Arabidopsis thaliana: one gene and its partner. The protein of the gene in region 2 interacts with the protein of the main gene of each other region in a pairwise test. Each region holds a gene or a part of one and is shown on either strand. Other genes may lie near its edges.

Region 1 (4,124 bases), on a different chromosome or scaffold from region 2:
AATAATTGGCTCCATGTTCTAAAGGGACATGAGGTTGTGATTTGTGGAAATGGAGACAAAGGTGGTCTTGTTCAAGGGTCCCCTTCTACCATTATTTGACCTTCATTTCATGCACATATCAATTAATATTTAGTATAACTTGCGAACAAAAACTACAAATTCATTATCACAAAACAATACTACATTCTATAAAAAAACTGATGACTTGTCTTCTAAACAAGTCTATAAGAATCACTAAATTTAATAAAGTTTGCAGAATTTTTCTGTCAATCTCACATTTAAATTAGTGAATCACTAGTTTGATTAAGAAAAGTAGGTGTTAGTTAATTTCCATTATCATTGTTGCTTTGACTTCTCTAGACATTTGTTTGACTCTTGCTAGAAACTGTCTTCCAGATTTCAGCCAGCATATAAATGTTTGTCTATAGCTTTCACAACATATGTTCTGGAATATTAAAAGAGAAATACCAAAACGATTTACAAGTATGCAACTTAAAAATAGAGAAATTTTTGAGAAAGGCGATAATTCCCTTCGTAAAATTACCGGCAAAAGAAAAAGTGGATAGAGACGCGACACTCTGCGCAAAAGTTTATGGTGAACATTGAGCAATAACATTTAGGGTAACAGACAAAGCTCATATTTAGAAACTGTGACTAAAATGGCAACAATACATGTGTTTGTGATAGCAATCGTACTCCTTCTACAATACATGTGTTAGTGATAACAATAGTACTCCCTCTAAATTTTAAGTGATGTTTAGACATATGTTAGTGATAACAATACATATATATATCATGTATTTCAAATATGTCCTAGCTAGAAAATAATGTTTATTGCATAAATCAAAGATATACAATCACACTCTTTGGACTACAAACCAATATCACCTAGAAAGTAGGGATTTAGAGCACAAAATACTTCAGCACAATACACCGCGATTTAATAGAGACTAAAAATGAATATGTTCTTCAAAGAGGCCAAAAGCTTTATTGGTAAAATAAGTCAGTATTTTGCGTAGATTAATGTAATGTAAGAAGCTGTGAATAGGATGGCGAGAAGAGGGAATGAGAACTTAATAGAACCATCAGATGATGACTTTTCTCTTGGGACTGTTTTTGATCCATTTCCATGTTCTGTTCATAGAGATAATGTCAAAAAAGGATAATGTCAAAATAGATATGATTAGATTAGGTTCTATTTATAAGTTAGTCCTTTACCTGAATGTGAATTAACCGAAGAACCACCTGAAAATAATAAAGTTCTGATGTGTGAGAGAAAAAAGATAGCAAAAATATGAATCTAATGCATGGAAAGTGAGTTTATTTTACTATGGCAGCGACTAGCAGGAGGAGTTTCAACATGACAAGCTTTAGGCAAAGCAAGAGCTTGTGTCTCATTAACATTGATCCCAAGCTGAGAACCTCCACCATCGAGAACCTGACACAAACACTCAGAAGAATACCGGACAACATGAGCCAACTGGTTACAACATTGTTGAGACGGGAGAGAAGTGTTTTGAGTGATGAAGCTGAGACACGGCGCCATGCTGATTAGAACATTTGTGCAACTCGACTGAGCAGAAACAATCGACATTACTCTCATTAAAGCAATAAACAAGATTAAACACATTCTAGGTTTCATGTTTTTCTTGTGTTCCAAGAATCTCTCAAGATTTTTTTTTAATTTAGTTGTTTGATCGCTTAATGGTTTGTGTTGGAGTCTTTTCTTTTGTGGTTACGTAAATAAATAAGAAGTTGAGGCCGCAGAAAAAGACGAAAATAAGGATGTGGCTCAATTTGCATGACCAACTTTTGCAACACCTTATGGTGAAGTTTGTGAAAGAATATGATTACGTTTGGTTTAAGGATATGTTTGTTGAATTATTTTTTGTGATTATATAAAGTTTTTGAGTTTCACCTGATTGAAATTTGATTGCTGACCTTTTCAATGAAAAAAACAAGAAAAAAAATAAGATACGTAGATAAATTTGTAGAAACCATTAAAATTATAAGCAACACCAAACACTTACTTGTGAATTGTTCATTTTAATATGGTTGTTTGAGTTTATTGGTTTAATTTGTGTTGGAGTCTTTTTGGGAGTTCGTAAATAAATAGAAACTGATATATGTCGCATAAAAAAAAAAAACAAAAAGAAGGATGTCAGGATGTGGCTTAATCTGCATGATCTAACTTCTCTATTTGATAAAGAGCATGACCAACTTTTGCAATATAAATATGGTAAAGTTTGCGTTCTTATTCAGAAACTGAGATTCCGATATGCTCCACCATACGTAAACCATTATTAGCCAACACTTCACGATCTTCACGACCACCGAAAAACAAAACCACGACAAGAAAAAACATCTTCTGACGAAACTTAACTCGAACCACCGAGTCCACGGTCAACGAATATTCAAACTAAGCAAAGAGCCTTCAAGAAAAATTCTTCAAGATATCAGATATTTCACGAAGATATCTGCATAACAGCTACGAGGAAATTGTGATTTTATCGTTTCACAAACATCAACAGCTCCATGGATCGTTATGGACGGATAAATCACAATCACTATCCTTTTTCTAGCAGCTGTTGAGCAGGTTTCTTCGTGAATATCTGGCATTTTGGTGGATTTTACAGTTTCACAAGCATCAACAGTTCCATGGATAATTATAACGGTTTCACAAGTCTATGTTTGTTCGTTTTTTCTTTTTTTTAATTGTCTATGTTTGTTATGTTCTCTAAATTTATATTGATTCTCTAAATTTATATTGAGTTCAGTATGTTTGGAAGCACATGAGAACGTTCTTTTGATGATATTATTACCAGTATTCTATATTGGGTCATTCATAGTATTACTATTCCATACATTTCCTATTTGTTGTGGGCTGGTTATTCGTCAGCACCGATTTAGCTTACGATGTGTTCGGGAGCCCTCGTCCAAACGAATATCAACTAAATAAGTAATTAACTTTCCCACTTAAACTTTGAATGGATGCGGCGGACAAAAAGGTCTAATTTTTCTGCAGTTTAATCCATTTTATTTTTGGGCGGACAATAAATCGGTGCGTACCAAATTTATTTGTATATAAAAACGGTTTGCTGCGGTTTTTCTTTTTTTTTGGTCCGAACTACTGCGGACTATAATTGATGAATGGTAAATAAAAAGCGGTATGATCTGTTGAAGGTTTTGTTCGCCTCAACCGCCGTAACCATTAGATTTTTATTTATCCTCTTTAAAAAACAGAAGTATAAAATTTCAAAGTCAACTAAACTATAAAATGTCAAAAACATAAACTGTGGGCTTTGATATTCAATCTAAAAGCCCAAACGAAACTAATCTTCACCCACGTGGACGGACCTTAGTGGCCAGTCACTACCAACTCAGCATCACCCGAAAATATCAATATAGGGGCAAATTAGTAACTTCGTTATCAAACCTCCACAACTGTTTATTTCCCGCCACCATCGTCATACAATCTCAGTTATCGCTACGAATCAGCCATAAGTGTGAAATCTCTGTAACTAACTCTAATCACGAAGACGAGAGATCTCTGAAGCAACAAAAATGGCGACCAAAATCACCGGCGTTTTCATCCTCATACTCACGATCACCTTCTCCTCCTCCTCCGCCGTAACCGCGACGCAGCAAGCACCTTCGTCTTCTCCACCGGTTCTGACTTGTACGGAGGAGCTCGTCATGTTCTCTCCTTGCCTTCCTTACGTCTCCTCTCCACCAAACAATATGTCAGAGACTCCGGATCCTATTTGCTGCTCGGTTTTTACCTCCTCCGTTCATTCTAGCACCGGAAACTGTCTCTGTTATCTTCTCCGGCAGCCGATGATCCTTGGATTCCCGTTGGATAGATCTAGATTGATTTCTCTTTCTCAGATCTGTACCGATCAGAATTCCGAAGAATCTTTCGAATCTCTCTGTTCGGTATCAGGTTAATTTCGAATCCTCCTATGTAATTGAATCGATTGAATTCGAATCTCAGATGTGTGATTTCTATGGTTTTGATCTGTGGTGCAGAGTCGCCGGAGCTTCCTCCGCTTCAGAGTATTCAGTTCACAAATCCGTTTGTTTCCGGTAAGAAACGGATTATTCCGGTGGATTCTGTTTTAAGT
Region 2 (8,917 bases):
TTCTAAGACTGTAGATGGATTTGGTAACAGTCGTTTTATGCAGCCTATGAAGTGATATCATAGTTACATTGACATGATCGTTTGAGATTTTCAATCATATTTATGATGTATTTTAACCAAACATCATTCTCTCTTATTTTTGTGAAAACTATAATCGTCAGCTTTTAAAAAACCAAAATGTAAGTATTGATTCAATGGAAGTATTTCGACAATAATACAAACAAAGGCTTATTTTTGTAATGGGTCTTTAGTTGAACAAAGGCTTTTTCACTAATGATTTAGTGCAAGGGTTTCCTTACCAAAAAAATTTAGTGCAAGGGTTTAAATTGCATAGATTGATACTTGAAGGGTTTAATCAGCCCATGAGGGACTTTTCATTAAATGTTCTAAAAAATATAGAAATTAGTTTAACATCAATTATTACTCTCTTGAGTTTTACTTGGTGGACGCTACCAAAAAATTGGTATTGAAAAGCCCGTTAAAGTATGTTCTCGATCACCATATATATATATTCGATAATAGGGGATGCCAAATAGATGCATCATAAGTTGAATGTGAAAAGCATTTTATGGCACAATCGTGGCAGTTAGCTCAAAATGAGTTTTATAATAAAAATCATGGTTTTCAAATTTAGAAACTTGGAATCGAGTGAGGAATATCTCAAACGATATCAATTATTCAAGAAATCGATGCTATATGGATGGATCATGGAAAGAAAGAGAAGTTCTGTGGAACATGATGATATTGTACATCATTAAATGGAGAGACGCCACAATGGGAGCTGGCAATCCCAGAAAAAGTCTATCTCTACTACATTCAGAAGTGCAAGCTTTTCTCTGGGCGATAAAGTGTATGATTACCGATAACAATTAAGAAGCAGTTTTTCTAACAGACTGTTTAGATCTGGTGAAGATAGTGTCTTCCCCAACCAGATGACCAACATTCTCAGCCTATTTGGAGGAATTACAGAGTGACAAAGAGGAATTCAAAAGTTTTTATTTATCTTTTATTTCACTTAGTGCAAATATTAAAACAGATAATTTGACACAAAAAGTTTGTGTCAAACTACATCATATCAATATAAACAATATTTCTCAGGAATTTTGACCTCTAATTAATATCGGATGACAAAAAAAAAGAGTTCCGTCGTTTTAGATAAAAAAAAAATTAACATAAGATAATTGAATTTGTTTATATAGAGAAAAATAACATGTTTTCGACAATTAATTTAGATTCGAATGATAATAAATAAATTATTTAAACGCTGTTCAAAAAACATTTAAATAGTTGTAAATGTAACTACAATTACAAACCTATAACAAGGATGGTGAAGATAGTGATAATGGTGGCCCAGAGAGGATTGGGTTTACTTCTCATTTTCAATGGAAAAACTGTTGATGTTTTAAAAGTTTAATAAACATGAACAAAGCTTACGAGTATTTATAACAAAAGTTACATTTGTCTATTTCTAGTACATCTCCTTCAATTTTGTCATAATTCCAAGGTTCTCCACTGATTCTAGTTTTTTGCTTTTCTAACTAAGTACGTGAAAGTCTTAGAATCACACAATTATTTCTGTTAACTACAACATTAAATTGAAATATCAAGATTTACTATTGGTGATTCAATCAAAAGAGAGAGAAAATTACCAATAAAAATCTGAAAATTTAACTCGAGCCAAATATATAGATAAATAATCCGCATTAGAGTTTGTTTAAATGGTGTGAAATCAAAGAAAAGGATAAATCGTCAAATGATGATAGATTATCCCTATGGTAAAAATGGTGGAGACTATATTACATAGAAATGGGTGATTTCATTCCAACGTAGGAGCTTCCGAAGTGGAGGTGTTCCAATAGTAATCAAGAACAAGAGTAAATCTAAATTCTCCAAACAAAAAATGCACTGATTTGAAACTGATACATTACGGCGGAACAATAATAGACTTTGGACTGTTATTCACACATGTATCAATGACAAAAAGTTCAGAGTTCATTAACAAAGGTGGCCTATAAGAGAGATACTAATTTGAGGATAGTTCTGTAAATAAAAACATATAAACAAATTTATGTGATACCGCATGATAATATTTCATGTAATCTACCTAGCCATTGGGCTCACATCAGTATCAAATGTCAAGCTTACCTCTAGGGAACTCTTTGAGTCCATGTCCCTACTCGCTCCTCCCCTTGAATTTTCAGATACCAAACATTCGTTTAATGCAATAAGAACTTGAGACATGGTAGGTCTTCTTGTTGAAGAAGGATTCAGACAAGACATTGCTAGTTCAACAGCTTTCCACACAGAACCAGAATCATAGTCTCCATTTAGACTTGGATCCATAATGCTAATGATGTCTCCTTTCGTAAGCATTATCCCCACCCATTCTGAAATATATGGCTTTTCACGGCTTTGGTCTATCACTGGCCGATTTGTGATCATCTCCAACAATACAATCCCAAAACTATATACATCACTCTTCTCTGTCAACCGATTTGTTTTGTAATATCTGGAGAATTTAGGAGCATAGAATTTTATCAATTTACCTTTCCAATAAAACAAAATTCTTTTAAACTATATTACTTACTCTCTTTTACCAAAATAATACAATATATAATAAAAAAATAATAATAATAATACTTACTCAGGATCGAGATATCCAGGAGTTCCAGCAACAACTGTTGACACATGAGTTTCACCTCCAATCGGAAAAGACCTTGAAAGCCCAAAATCAGCAAGTTTGGCTTCAAAGTGTTCATTTAACAATATATTTGTAGTTTTGACGTCCCTGTGTACCATTAGTGGTTTGCATCCATTATGCAAATACTCAAGCCCTATGCAACAAAATCCATAAAATTCAATCAAATGAAAAGCAAAAAAACATATATAAGAGAAATAATAGGGATACTAGGTAAACCAACCTTGCGCAGAGTCAATGACTATTTTTAGTCTAGTTTCCCAATTTAAAATAAATCGGTTTCTTGTTCCTATGTTTTAAAAGGAGAGAAAGATATCAATGTCTGATGCTATCACGATAAATCTACAGCAATATATGGTTAGGTCATGTTTGTTTGCTTACCTGACATATGTTCTTTTAAATCTCCATTGGCCATGTATTCATAGATAAGAGCCATGTTCTCTCCTTCGTCGCAATACCCAACAAGACCAACCAAATTCTTGTGATGAACTCTAAGAAGAAGTTCTACCTAAATACCATGCCAAAATGCATATGTTTAAGCTTTTAAAGATAGTTGAATCATTGATGTTTTCATTCGAGACAGTGATGAAAGTTAGAATTTACCTCAGCTTTGAATTGTTTATACCCTTGAGATGATGAATGAGAGAGTATCTTAACAGCTACTTGTTCAACACCGTTCACAAAGCCATGATAAACGATTCCAAACCCTCCTTTCCCAAGGATTCTTTGGAAGTTATTTGTCATTATCACAACTTGTGAGTAAGTAAACCTTTTGTTTTTCGTCACTATTGCTGGTTCAGAGGATCTCGGCGATCTACCATCTGATGCTTGCATGTAAGATGGTAGTGTCCCTAAGGTTATATAAGGCAAAATCTTGTTATGTTTGATGTGCATGTATGCTCTAATATTAATCTTGAGTTTATTTATTGATACCTTCAACTTTTGATGCCTTTTTCTTTCGGAAAACAAGGAACAGAATGAGTGCACCTATAATAACAGCCAATGAAACAATTGATGCAACCACTGGTACAATGATACTCTTTTTTTCGCCTTCTCCTTTGTGCATACATGAACCAGTTGTGCAAAGAATATGGGGATTGTCATCAAGACTGCAGAATGTGAGTGTTGTTAAAGAAACAAAATACATCAATTTCCCTGATATATATATAACAGGTTGAAAGTAACAAAAATATAGCTTACTGTAGCATCAATCCTTTCTTCTGAAGAAGTGAGGCAGGAACCGGGCCACTGAGGTTATTGCCTCTTAAGTCTCTATTGAAGTAGAAAAATAGTTAAAGGATAAACAAACATGTTCAGGAGAATGTCAAGAGTAGAATATATTGTAGTGTCTCATGAAAAACTTACATGACCATGATTGATTTTAAGTCAGCTAGAAATTCAGGTACTTCTCCGGTCAAATTGTTATTTGACAAGGCCCTTCCATTAACAAAAGTGAAATAACTCATTAAACATTATCTGTTTCCAATGGTTACAAAAATTTTGGCTTGGTCAGCAGTTGAGATAGACTTACAATATTTCTAGGTGAGTAAGATTTTGAATGGCAGGCGCGATGATCCCGGTTAGTCCACTTGCAGATAAGTCTCTGGAGAAAGAAACTGTGAGATATCTAGTTCAAAATTGACATGATTAAAAAAATCAAGAAAATCTATTGAATGATTCATCTTACAAGAAATTAATTATTGGTGGAGTACTATCTGAGTAACTGCACTTTAGACCGTCCCACGAATACTGTTTGGGGACACATGGATCTCCTTGCCAACTGCTTCTATTAATCAATCCATAAGCATTTTGAACATTCTTGATAGCAGCAGCTACGATTGTAAAGCTTGATGATATCAAGAATCAACACACAACACGCTAAACATTTTGAAATAAGATCAAGAATGTCAAATTGACATACCGTCATCTTCATCTGTCTCCACTTGTAGGAAATCAATCACGGTGAAAGCCTCTATAGCATTAAGTAAAGGCGGAAGAGTTGATTTTGACGTCTTCACAAGCTGCAAAATACATGCCCCATCTTCGCATTCCTCTGGTTTTAAGTTGGTTTCTGTTTCGGTCTTTAGCGGTATTGGACTGTAAGGTCCAAACAAGTCATTTCCATTCAGCATCACATTGAATTCCCTTGTATCGTTGGCCCTTAGTGTCTCAAGCTCTGCAAAGTGCATGTAGGAGTAAACCTTTGTAGTAGGAGGCTCTACGTTCCATGTAATGTTCAATGTCTCACTATCGTTTAGAGGTGTTGCGCCCGTTGCCATTACATCTTGTGATAAATCATAATTATCAGTAACGTTTACACCCAAAGTCGTCGATACTTGTGCCCAATTATTTTCCAGGAAGGATGCATGCCATACACGGTCATAGATATCATCTGGATACCTGCCACAAGTAAATGTTAGACCACATTACACAAATAAAAAGTTATGTTTACTGTCAATGTAATAATATAGTATTTCTAATTATTATTAGTTTTTTAATTTTAAATAGACAGAACAGCAAAACAAATTGAAAGGAAATTGTGATTTGAAAAAATGAAAACTAATCAAATCGAAAAAGTAAGGTACAATATAAAAATATAGAACCTAGAAATTGAAAATATGTAAACTATAAAATTTACATAAGACTCATAATATAGAAAATTAGAAAATAAGAGTTTGTTATCGTGTGCTTTAGAATTCTTACATGACAAAAATTCAGGGTATAACTTTAAATCTGACTTATTACATTAAAACAAAACATTTCTCAATCGTTAGATTTTTTTTCTTTTTTTCTCTTTTTCTTTTTTTTGTTGCAGCATGTTAGAACAACTAAATTCAGAAAATAATATTCAAAAATATATATTTATTCACCTAAAGGGATTATTTAAGGGTAATATGGGTAGTTTTTGAATTTTAATAATCACGAATTATAAAACATAATTTACAGATAACTAAAAGAGGTTTTTAGTTTAAAACCTATTTATACGGGTTAGCAATTTAGAATCTAAATATTGTATATATTATCTACGTATCATGTGGGATATAATCTAGTAAACTATAAATATAATGGTAAATTTAAATTTACAATAGAATTTTTAACAAACAAGTATTACCTTATCGTTTGACCTGAGTCACTAAAATACTTCCTAAATAAGAGCTTGAGTGAGCCACTTTCTGTAACGTACACATTTTTCTTCAATGGTCGTAGCTCCAAGATATTAATAAAAGGTATAAAATCTCCCGTCTTAGCAAGACAAACCTGTAACGAATCGGATTTCGTCACATGGATGATCTCCTCAACAGTTTCACTGCGGCTTACCGTTGCCCATAAATTTGGACCCAAGTAAAGGTCGAAGTTCGGCTCATCTTTATGACCATCGTAATTTCCATACACGAATGTAGCCTTGATCATATAGTTGGTGTCACGGCTCACGTTTAAGTTGTAGCAGTTTCGTGCTCCGTCTGGAAAGTATCTCAATGTCAAATTCGGTGTACTGTTGTTCTCTTCGAATTCCTTGGCGATTTTACCAGTTTTCCCACTGCTAACTAAACCGACATCTGATGTATATACTAAACCGGTTCCGAGTGCGTTGTAAGGAGAATCACGAGGGAGTAAACCGCAATCCACATTGATGAATCCTAATGAAATAATAGATGGAAAATATATATCTTATAGTCTAAGAAACCATTGAAGAACACATATGTATAGATTGAAACAACAATTTTGTATGTACCGGGTTGATCTTGAGCTTGAACAAGATGAAGTATCAGCATAAAAGTGGCAACGAACACACGATGACTCTCCATTAATATCTTCCTTACTATGCAAAGAAGGGATCTGTTTTTTTTTTTGAGTTAGCAAAGCTATGCATATAAGTTTATGATTATGTATATGAGGTATTTCTCAAAGTCCTAAGTCAAATTCTTATAAGTGTCACATTAATGAATCAAATAATTGAGGGAACACATTTAATGAGGATATTATTTCGATGGTGTAAAATGATTTGGTTGAGAGAAAATGACAAGAGTGGTCCGTTACCTTGCCCAGCCGTAATTACAGCTTACAAGTTGGAACCACAAAACCGTTGACTAAGTCAACTCGAAAGAACAATCAGTCTTTAGATTCTCCTTGAATTTTCTTATCTTCAATATTGTCAAGGATATGCTTTTTTCTATATTATGTGGACATAAGTAATCATCTGATAACCATTAATGACAATGACTTCACTTTGTAGTTTGTAAGCAATGTGTTGCCTTAGTTGACTATAGATTATTACAACATATGAATCTTGTTTGATCCTTTGTCAATTTGTCAAGTTGTGCTACTTGATATCCTTCTCTTGTTTCTTTGCTCCGTCCAATATTCTGCTCAGATACTTTCTTTTTCCAACAAAAAGTAAATTTTTGTCACCAAATTTTATGTACCTTTTGGATTAAGTATATATATTTGATTATATTCCCAATGGCTTGGAGCAATCATTTTATGGTTTTAAAAGTAGAATAAGCAGTTATAGTGTGAATGTGTGATATTTATTTTAAAAATGTTTGAAGGACACTCAGACCAACTCCAACGGGAGTTTCTCATAAAATCTCTCACCAATAAAATAAGAAAAAAATGTCAAAAGGAGGAGAGAGGTAAGGGAAAGTTTTCTTTAGAGAAACCAAGAAAAACTCATCGACAACGTTTCTCACAGTTGTCATTCAATCATTGGTTTAATTAAAATACTTTCCAATTAAATATTAATAATATTTGTGTTCACACTTATATTTATGTTCACACATATATTGAGAATCGGAAGTTGAGAAGTTGCCGTTGCTGATGCTCTCAATCTGTTATTTCCAAAATTGTCCCGTTCTATTCCATGTTTTGCCCCAATGTCGACCAAACTATTTCTATGATTTGCCCCAATGAAGAGAATCTATAAACCAAATTTCATCAATTTTGTAATTTGAAAAGCTAGGAGGTGAGTTTGCTTCTTTTATTGTCAGGAATTTCTTCTGTTTCCGTACTGGTGACTGGATCTCTTAGGTGACGCTGCTTATATACAAAGGTCACTCTGCATGTTAGAAGTTGAAGGGTCATAAGCAAATGCTATAGTTATTAATTCATGGTTATTTTTGGTAAAAGAAACATGCACCACCACCCATTATTTAATTCATGGTTAGTTGGAATAAACTGAAACATGGGGGAAAAAAGACTTTGAACTTCTATTGTAATTAGAAGTTCATTGCTTACAAAAAATAAAATTGATGCACAAAATTTAGGATAGTTGTAAAGGATATATAGGGTAAAATAATGATCCACGCGATACAATAGGAAATATAATCAGGACCTCTACCGAGCCATAGGGGCCACTTCAGTTCCGAAGGTCATGCTCACTTCCCTGGAGCTTTCAGAGGCCAAACACTCTTTCAGTTCAAAAACAACTTGAGACATTGTCGGTCTTGTCATCGAAGAAGGATTCATACATGACATTGCTAGTTCAACAGCTTTCCAAACAGAACCAGAATTATAATCTCCAAGGAGATTTGGATCAGTAATACTTTTGATGTCTCCTTTCGTAAGCATTCCTCCCACCCATTCTGCTATATGTCTCTTTTCGCGGTTTTGGTCTATCACGGGTTGGTTTGTAATCATCACCAATAATACAACTCCAAAACTATACACATCACTTTTCTCCGTCAACCAATTTGTTCGGTAATATCTATAAAATAGTTCAAAGTGCAAGAATATTACGTAATCATTGGAGACAAAATATCTACAAAATATATTTTCTTATTGAAGAAGTAATACTTACTCGGGATCGAGGTAACCAATAGTTCCAGCAACAACAGTTGATACATGAGTTTCCCCTTCTATCGGGAATGATCTCGAAAGCCCAAAATCAGCAAGTTTGGTATCGAAATGTTCATTCAACAATATATTTGTGGTTTTAACATCTCTATGAACCATTAAGGGTTTGCATCCATTATGCAAGTACTCTAATCCTATGAAAAATATTATTTTCACAAAGTTTCAGTCAGTCAAAGCAAAAGAAACAAAGAAAGAATATGATGAGGTTAGGTATTTGAGAAATCAATACGAACCTTGTGCAGCCTCGAGAGCTATCTTTAGCCTTGTTCCCCAATTTAATATAGAACCACCTCGTTTTCCTATGTATTGTTAAAAAAATAACTAATGTGTGTTAGATTCTTACATTCAATAGACAAATATTCAAAA

The links.
Region 1: the proteins of AT1G51805 (region 2) and AT4G14815 interact in a protein complementation assay, tested with the Arabidopsis thaliana proteins (one large-scale study listed by BioGRID).

What each region holds. Positions count from the first base shown.
Region 1 is NC_003075.7:8,502,640-8,506,763, reverse strand, and holds AT4G14815 (Bifunctional inhibitor/lipid-transfer protein/seed storage 2S albumin superfamily protein), read right to left. Parts: upstream 1,722-4,124; 5' UTR 1,643-1,721; coding exon 1,330-1,642; intron 1,246-1,329; coding exon 1,219-1,245; intron 1,135-1,218; coding exon 1,004-1,134; 3' UTR 812-1,003; downstream 1-811. Other genes in the region: AT4G14810 (uncharacterized protein), read right to left, coding at 2,255-2,419, 2,524-2,619; AT4G14805 (Bifunctional inhibitor/lipid-transfer protein/seed storage 2S albumin superfamily protein), read left to right, coding at 3,565-3,943, 4,030-4,086.
Region 2 is NC_003070.9:19,219,087-19,228,003, forward strand, and holds AT1G51805 (Leucine-rich repeat protein kinase family protein), read right to left. Parts: upstream 6,712-8,917; 5' UTR 6,505-6,711; coding exon 6,432-6,504; intron 6,337-6,431; coding exon 5,811-6,336; intron 5,099-5,810; coding exon 4,620-5,098; intron 4,531-4,619; coding exon 4,386-4,530; intron 4,302-4,385; coding exon 4,230-4,301; intron 4,136-4,229; coding exon 4,064-4,135; intron 3,971-4,063; coding exon 3,899-3,970; intron 3,808-3,898; coding exon 3,632-3,807; intron 3,550-3,631; coding exon 3,302-3,549; intron 3,207-3,301; coding exon 3,080-3,206; intron 2,988-3,079; coding exon 2,922-2,987; intron 2,835-2,921; coding exon 2,645-2,834; intron 2,510-2,644; coding exon 2,101-2,509; 3' UTR 1,150-2,100; downstream 1-1,149. Other genes in the region: AT1G51810 (Leucine-rich repeat protein kinase family protein), read right to left, coding at 8,033-8,402, 8,496-8,685, 8,785-8,850.